Caenorhabditis elegans: one gene and its partner. The protein of the gene in region 2 interacts with the protein of the main gene of each other region in a pairwise test. Each region holds a gene or a part of one and is shown on either strand. Other genes may lie near its edges. The genes, in order: T06D4.1 and F34H10.3.

The links.
Region 1: the proteins of F34H10.3 (region 2) and T06D4.1 interact in a two-hybrid assay, tested with the Caenorhabditis elegans proteins (one large-scale study listed by BioGRID).

Annotation. Positions count from the first base shown.
Region 1 is NC_003280.10:3,380,062-3,384,700, reverse strand, and holds T06D4.1 (Type VI secretion system protein TssA), read right to left. Parts: upstream 2,866-4,639; coding exon 2,773-2,865; intron 2,728-2,772; coding exon 2,467-2,727; intron 2,424-2,466; exon of another isoform or gene 2,269-2,423; intron 2,226-2,268; coding exon 2,124-2,225; intron 2,076-2,123; coding exon 1,998-2,075; intron 1,950-1,997; coding exon 1,872-1,949; intron 1,823-1,871; coding exon 1,727-1,822; intron 1,678-1,726; coding exon 1,459-1,677; intron 1,412-1,458; coding exon 1,316-1,411; intron 1,267-1,315; coding exon 1,060-1,266; intron 1,010-1,059; coding exon 914-1,009; 3' UTR 684-913; downstream 1-683.
Region 2 is NC_003284.9:9,632,523-9,636,699, forward strand, and holds F34H10.3 (uncharacterized protein), read right to left. Parts: upstream 2,504-4,177; coding exon 1,955-2,503; intron 1,829-1,954; coding exon 1,721-1,828; intron 1,460-1,720; coding exon 1,370-1,459; 3' UTR 762-1,369; downstream 1-761. Other genes in the region: F34H10.5 (Mediator of RNA polymerase II transcription subunit 22), read left to right, coding at 3,363-3,404, 3,453-3,629.

The DNA of each region.
Region 1 (4,639 bases), on a different chromosome or scaffold from region 2:
AACTACCGCGAGCCGGATCGTCCGCAACGCGTGGATCTTCCGGGTCCAGAGGTACATTTTTCTTGCATCTCTAAGGCTACTTTCTGTAGAAGTTTGCCAACTTTCTATGAGACGTTGTCGACTTTCTGCCGCTCTTCTCCACTTTTCTATCAAATATTATCGACTTTCTGTCGAACACTGCCAACTTTCTGTCCCAAATTTTCTAAGTTAAGTCGTACACTGCCAAAATTTTTTTTGCAGGAAGATGATGAAGACGACGACGTCGACGAAGAAGAAGATAACGAGGTTCAGGGCCCAATGGAAGTCCGTACACTATGGGGCAGACTCGACAGAGCGACGAGAGAGCTCCACAATCTTAAGAGAGAGCTCACACAACTGCATTCTGAAAATCGCCGCTATCACCATGCGGAATCGTTTTTGAGCCCTTTGGAGAACCTATTATCATTTGTCGAACTTCAAACTTTCCAGATTTTGATTTTCGTTCTCAATTTGGAGCCTCTTGCTTTGCTCGGGGAGCTTCGAGTCCCGCAAGTTGGCCAGGATCGTTTAAAGTCAGCAATGGTGAACATCAGCCGCCAAATCTCAAAACACAAAGATTTGATTGCAATGATTTGGCGTCGGATTCACAATCGTCAATAATGTGTTGCTTTTTTTTTTTGTTTTTTTCTTCTCGAGTAAGCTTTAAAGATATTTTCTTCTTATTGAAAAGTGAGAGAAAGTGCGACCAATCAGCAAAGTTAAAGGGCTTGTCATTGCCTCCAATTCAGGGTTACTGTAGGGATACTTAGAGTTTCAAACTTTCGTTTTCAAAATATTGAAAATATGTTTTCAACTGATAGGCTAAAAATAGTTCAAAACTATTGAATACTTACAATAAAAATACACACAACAAATAAAAAAGAATAATTTTAATTTATTGATTGCCGCCTCTTTGCTCATCTTGTTCCGGTCCTTGTAGACAGTGTTGGAGGAAATACATCCATTGCTCAGCAGTCGGAAGCTCGTCGCTCTGAAATTGTTAGAAGTAGATTTTAAGGTTACAAAAATGGAGCTACATACCTTAGGCTTTTTTGATTCAAAGAGCTCTTCGGCGTATTCACTCAGCTTTCTCTTGATACCTCTGGAACGTTTTGGTGGTAACGCTGGAGCTTCTGGCGCTTCGGATGCTCTTGCTGATGCTTCTGCTGGTGCTTCGGATGTTTCAGCTCCATCACTTAAGCGATAAAATATGCGAGCTTTTTTCAGGAACGGTGTGATATTGGGCTTCTGAAAAGGAAAGAAAATTGCTATAGGGCTTCCTGGGCGCCTAACCTACCCCGTCTTTGACTCCCATCAACATTTCAGTCATTGTATCCGTCACTATACCAGTCACACATAGAACCTTATCCGGAACATCGAACATCCTCATTTGCTGTAATTTTTGAAATTCTGGTTGAAAACTGAATGACCGAAACTAACCGAATGCCAAAGCTTTTCCAATTGCGCCAAGCGTTCACGGAAGATATCGAATTGAACATTACCAAACACGGAATGCTGGTCTCGAAAGTCCGCAAAGAGTGTCCGTTTGGGATCCAAATCACCTGCTTCATTTTGATCCCGAATCGTGGCCCAATAATCGTTAATGAACGTGCCTCTTTTCCGACTCAACTCGTTTGCGAATGATTCCAACTCTGCAGTCTGAAAGGGGGATTTAGTAAACAAGTTGAAGAGTTGTTGAAATCCTTACCCAAGTGGAAGAGCTAGTCAGCATCTCAATTAAAATCCGATAGGCAAAATCTTTCATCTCGGGGACGGGATTTCCATACAGCAGGCATACAATATTCTGAAATTTGAAATTTGGTTCAGTGAGTCTTTCAACGACGGCAACCAACCTGTTGACACCATTGCCGTAGGAACTCGCTTTCCCGTCTCGCTTGAAAACTATCAATGATCAGGTGGATCCTAGTAGCCTGGAAATTTAAATTTAAGTTATTAGAATCCAGCATTCTAAAGTATACCAGCGCTTGTCTTGGCACGAAAGTCTGATCATCCTCTGGAACAACTCGACAGTCTCGGATCAACTCGTAAAATTGATTCTGAAAGTAGGAACTATTGACGAAGAGCAGGGATTTTGAAGTACCAACCATAGCTGAATCATCGATGCCTGCAGGAGTGTTAAATGCGGGATCCTCGGGAGTTCTGGCGAAAAGTTCCCTGATCTCGGCGAGTTTACCCATATCGTTGCTCTGAAATACGATTGGTTAGGAACGTAAATTGAAGCGCTGAAACTCAGGAAACCCCCTGCAAAAGGTATTTTCAACCAGGCAAGGAGCGGATGTCAACTAGCAAAAAAAGGCCAGCAGCGGGCAATTGGCGGGCTTCAACGGGCAACTATCGAGCAACTATCGGGCAACTCTTGGGCAACTTTCGGGCAACAGCGGCGACTATAAAAAAATTGGGCTAGATGGATCTTCTCCCAACACATACCTCCACCAGCGTCCTACAGATATACTGTAACAAGTTCTCATTGGCAACTTCTTGATCGAGTTGGTGATCCTGCCTCGCAGCTTCAATGACTTCATCAGGTTCTGTGTTGAGATATGGTCGCAGGGATCCTCGTAGAAGCCTGGCCAATTCGGTAAGAAATGGGCTGTCCGGTATGGGTAGAGCAGCGGCCACCTGTGGAGCTTCTTCTTCTCCCTTGGCTTCTTCTCGATCAGCTTGCTCTTCTTTTGGTTGGCGTTGTGCCTGAAAAATGGGAATTTATGAAATAGAAAAATTGTTAAATGTTACCTCTTCTTGGTTGCCCTCTAGTTGCCGAGCAGCTTGATTTTCCGATGGGCCTTCCATCGCCCGTTCCTGAGTGGTATTCGGGTCGTCGGACATCTAAAAATCAATAATTTGATGATGAAATCGAGAAAAAACTAGGAAAGCTTGACGAAAAATGAGGGGAAAGAACAAAAATCCAGTGAGAGTCCAAGGAAACACAAGAAAACAAAATTCGGCGCCGGGTAGGTCAAAAAAACCTGGTAGGTCAAAACTCAACTAGACTAGCCTAGAAAAAGATAATACATAGAAAAATTGTACTAGCAGCCGACACTCTTCCTGGTCACCCTATGTGTTTGCTCCGGCGTTAACGCTCAGCGTTCCTTAACTTCAACAACTCAACAAAGGCTCATAACAGAGTGAGATTTGCCCCGTTCGGTTCGAAATTTTCTGGGCAAATCCGGGAAATAATTATGCAAGCATTAACAATGAAAATTTTATTAACATAATCCCAGTGTCTGTGCTTTTGATTCAAAAAGAAATTTAGAAAAATTATTTAAGAGCCACCGATTTCTGGAGAAGAGGCGCCAGCACAGTTGGATCCATTTCAGCAACATTGCATGCCATTGCCGCTTTGATCTCATCCATTATATTGATTTTCGACAGACATGATTTCTAAACAGACTGATTAGGATTGGAGGCTCAGCTATGATCCTTACCTTCAAGTTATCCAGTTGGTATTGCTTTGCAATCTTTAACTTTTCCCTGATTGATCTTTCAGAAATTTTGATTAGGAACTCTTCACATCTCCGAATCGCAGGGGCATATTGTACTTCTGAGCCAATTTGAGGATTCCGTCAATGTTCTCTTCTAGAAAAAATAGAAAATTTGAACTTTCACATGTTTTCAGTTTTACCATCAATAGCAGGTTCTCCGTATAGAACCTCCAGGAGACACTGAAAATCGGTAGAATTGATATCGGAGAGTGTGATTTCTGAATTTTCAGCTTGTTCGAAGTCGAAGTCTCCGAAGAGGAGATCCTTGAAGTAAGTTGAGTGAGCAGCGAGAAACTGAAAAGCATTTAAAATTGAAATTCAAAAGCAAAAAATGCAAATACCTTCTTGAGAACGTAGAACTTTTCATCTCCAATTGCTATAATCGCATCAGAATACTCCTGAGCCGACTTCTCGAAGCTTCTAAGCTTCATCCTAGGGATCCCAGTCATCGCTTTGATCATGACGGCTGCTTCCACAATGATACTATCATCAATTAGGTATTCCTTCAACAATGTCTCCCAACTAACAACCTTAGACCATCTCCATGCGGGTATCATGATGTTTTCAAGTGTAAAGTCAACTTTGACCCTACGACTCATTTGTTTCCCATTTGAAGTTTTAAGAGTTAATTCGAATTCCGTATCAATTGCACAAATTTCATCATTTTCCGTCAATTTCGTACAACGGAGGTACACATCTAAATGATCATCTTCTCGATAAAGTTGCAAGTCCCTGAATGTTCATTTTATATTCATTTTAGTAAAATAAAACCTATTTACCATGGAACATTGAAGTGATCTTCTTCAGGGCTTAATAGAAAATTACCGTTTTCCAATTTTGATACATCTGTGAAAATGTGTGAAATCTCAAATTCCTTTTTAGCGGAATTCATTGTCCTGCTGAAATTATAGAGTTAGAAATATTTCAAACAAATTGGATAAAAAAGCAGTAAAGGAGTTTCTTAAAAAATCAATAAAAGGCAAACGAGTAGTCTTGGAGGAGAGAGAATGAGCTGAGAAATGGCTGAGCTGGTAGTCAGCTGGTAGTCGAATGTTATCGATCCGTAGTTGCAGATGACGCAGCGTCAATAAGTCTTCCCAAGAGTGAAGGAAGAACCT
Region 2 (4,177 bases):
TTGTTTCATGATGTTTATGTGAAAAAAACTCGTTTCGATTTTTCAGGAACTTTTTTTTATTAAAAAAATATAAATAATTATATGGTCTTCTAAAATTTTAAAATAATATTTTTCCAGGAAATGATTCCGCATAATCGTGATGCATTCCTATTGATTTGGGATCACTTGGCTCAACTCATCGTCGATTCTTGCTATCATACCTAAAAATGAGGTAATAAACGTGGTTAAATTTAAAGCGCTAGTGTTGTATTTGTAAAAAACCCTACTATGGTGCCAAAATAACCTAATATCACAGCTAAACTTTTCAAAAATTGTTGAAAAAATTTTTATGGACAGTCAAAAGTGACACTTGCCACTTTTTGATAAAAATATAGCACTGTCGCATGTTCTAATCCCTACAATGTTTGAGCCTAAATATTTGAAACGTAAGTAGAAAAATCGAAGATTAAGATTTTAACAAGATTTTTTTTTGTTCGGCGGCTTCCAAAAAGTGTCAAAACTGTAACTTTGACAATTTAACAAGTTTTTAAATGTTTAAATATGACATTAATATGGCATTTGGTCATTCTGGTGCCACATGCATGTTTTGCAGCAATTTTCCCAGTGGCGCTACTACACCTTCAGGACTAATGATTGTATTTTTGACAGCAACAAGCAACTGTCTGCATTGTGATTTTGTACAATTATCTCCAGTATCCAAACAATTCAACATTTAATTTGATTCAAATTTGCATAACTTTGATTTCACAATATCTTGTTTTCCGTTTAAAATTTATTGTTCAAATATAATAATTCGAATGATAGAAAGAATGAATGGAATTAAGTGATTTGATCACAAAAAACATTATCCAATAAATCAGGAACGTATAGATTTGGCAAGCCGGATTTTTTCAATATACAAAATAAATGTGTTGGGAGTAAAAATAGAGTAGTTAAAACCGAGGGTCTACGGAAGGAATCACGATATAAAACTGCAAGGGGAAATTCACAGGACATTGATACAATGATATCGTTTGTTATTCGAAAAGCTAGGACAGAGATGAGGAATTTAGATACAAAAATACAAAAGTAGAGTAACTGAGGGCAACTAAATTGTGAAAAGCATACAATGATATTTTAATTTGAGAGAAGCGTAGAGGGAATTAACTTTTTGAATTTACGATCAACGTGTTCAAAAAGCAAACAATGTACAAAGATGTCGGATTACATTTTTGATTGGATAACTGATTCCCTTTTAAAGTGGAGTCGGAATCACGCGAGAAACATTTAAGGAGAGCGTCAATACTTTGACAAAAACAGTGGTGTGTAAGTCAAAAATTTGGTTATAGATTCTTGTTCAAATGTACACTTTTGTTATGTTACGAGATGTTTAAGCAATGCTTACAGATGAACGACGATTCAGAGTATGGATGAGCTCACGATGATAATCGATGCGTTCAGCAAACATTGGTGCAAATACCTTAAAGTCAATAAATTCATTAATAAGATTTAATTGAAATTGTCTACACATCTTAATCTGTGTAAAAAATTTTATTATGCGTAGTTATTCCTGTACAAAATTTCAGAGAAAAGCGGAAACTTCTATTACATCAGTTATGAATTTCAAATTTAATTCAGTTTTAGAATGATTTAGAATTTAGAATAATAAACTGAACTACGTTTAATTTACTAGACAACACAGCACGTTTATCCGGTCACAGTTTTGAAAAGTTTTTTTTACCTGGAACTGCTCATGGGTTGTAATTTCGTTGAGACGAGACTTGAAGTCAGAAACTTGGCGTCCAAAAAGCGTGAGATAGGTCACCGATTCCTTGCCTTGCAAGCTGGCCTGAAACAACGGAAATTGACAATTTTTTAGGGAACGCTGGCATTTCTGATTTTCCCACCCGCAACACGCATTTTCTCCTTTTCCAAATACGTGGAGTTACCATTTCCAAACTTCCTCCAAACTTACGCGAGCATCCAATGTCCAATCAGCCATTTGTGTGAAGTACTCTAGCTGAGCTCTCTCCGCCACTGACAACGGGGATAGACGATTGCATTTAGCTGCTTCTACCAATGCTTCGTAATGGCGACGGTGTGGGTGTAGGAGCATTTGATCATTCAGTTGTTTGCGAAGATGACGAAGGATATCTAATTGGATATAAGACCGGTATTTTACTTGTTGTTCGTGATAGTGAATGAGGCTTTGGATTTGTTGAAGATGTTGGCACTGTTGAAGAGGTCCCATCTCAGGAAGTGTCGGGCGTCCATTCACAAATGTCATTGCTTTCGGACGACATGGTAATCCATTATGTCCAAGCTTCGGGCTTGAAAGTTGTTGGATAGTCTGCAAGACTTCCACTGGCATATACTCCTCCACTTCTACTTTTGCAACTTTCTCGGGTGGGCCTTCAACCTCTGCGACCTCAGTGTTTATCGTGAGCTTTCTAGTAAGCTTTGGCGATTCCTTTGATTCAGCATCCTCGATATTCTTTGTTAAGTTTTCCACGGTGTCGGTCATCTGAAATCAAGAAAACTTGGGCTGGGGATTATGAAGGCTTTGAGCAAGTTTAAGTTTTACAAGAAGAACTTATTAAGAACAATAAATATTGAAGCGGGGAGCAAAGTGTACAATTAAATGAAATTTTTGGATTGATCCTAAAATAATTGATACTCGTATTTTGTTATAACATGAGCTTTCCCACACACAAAAAGCCAGCTACCGTGTACAAAAGTTGTATCTGTGCTTGGCTCCTGCATGGCGCTGAGTGCTACCCGGAGCCACTTCTAAGTCCACTTCTGTCTTCAGCCTCATCTTACATCTCATTGCGTTTTCAGAAAATTTTTCTTCTCTTCAACACCACTTGTGCTGTTTCCAAGGCTTCCAGCGTGTACTTCTTATTTCGATTCTAGACATAAACTTTCTTCAATTTCACCCATACACTCCTCCAACCCCTCTGCGCTTCAATATAATTAGTTTTAGTTCGGGTATTCGCTATATGGAAATTGATGACAGTTTTCATATCAAGGAATTGAAGTTCACTTACTCTATTCTTATTTTAATGGGGATGATGTCCTGTTGGAGAAGACAAACGAAAAAACACGAAATTGGTAAGCTACGTGGACGACGGCGGAAATTTTTTGTGTTGATAGTTGTCTCTATCACATAACTAAACACATTCGTTTTCATTCCCATCAATACAATTGAAAACGCGTTCCTATTCAGTTAGATTTTTCACTCATAGTTACTTTCCTTGAAAAAGTAAGTTCGTCTGTTATCCCGAGGTTAAAACTGAGTTCAAGGGAAATAATTGTTAAATGTCGATGTCATCTATTCTTTATTTCTAGAAGTGCATCCATCTCCACGGAAGATCAGCGACATGTATGAACCTCCTCGTCAAGTTCTAGACTATCGTCACATTGTGAGTACATGTTGAAAGCCAATATTTATATATAATTACACGTCTTAGGAACAAATTAACACTGTGATCTTTCACTTTCGTGAGCTATCCCGTCAGGTGACCATGCAACTAGGAGTGGTTCCCAGTTCGGTTATTGCTGAACTTCGTGGTCTAAATCAACGAATTGTTCACGCAATTGAACTCATCGAAGGCGACACGGTTCGTAATGAACGGGCTCCATTTGAGGTAACAACCGGATTGCAGATAGGTGGTCTAACATAAATGAGAAGGGGTGACGGATGACTACTGTTGCGCAACAAAGCCTTATTAAATATGTTTGGAGTCTGTTCAGAATTCTGTGAAAACGAAATTTCTAAAAACAATCTCTAAATTTTGACAACGTTATTTTTCCCTATTAGAATTGCAATATTGCTCAATATTGTTTTCTATTGGGAAATTGAAGGGCAAGATTAAAATACTTGTTACATCAATCACTTATTTTGAGTGAAAGAGTAATCGGCTATAATTTTTTTTAATTGATAAATTTTAAAACGCTTAAATTTTAGTACTTGTTCAAAACCAAACAAGGTAATACGTCAGAAAATTTGTAAACCTTTTAGTAATCAATTTTAAAACGGTTAAAAATATCAATGTACTTTTGTGATTTCATTGATTGTATTAAAAAAGTTTGCAAGACTAATGAGAGAGAGAGTGAGCAAATCCTTGTTGGGCTGCAAGAATATGCCTTGAAATTCCACTTGAGTGCAACCCTTAATAGAAAAATATGCTATTTC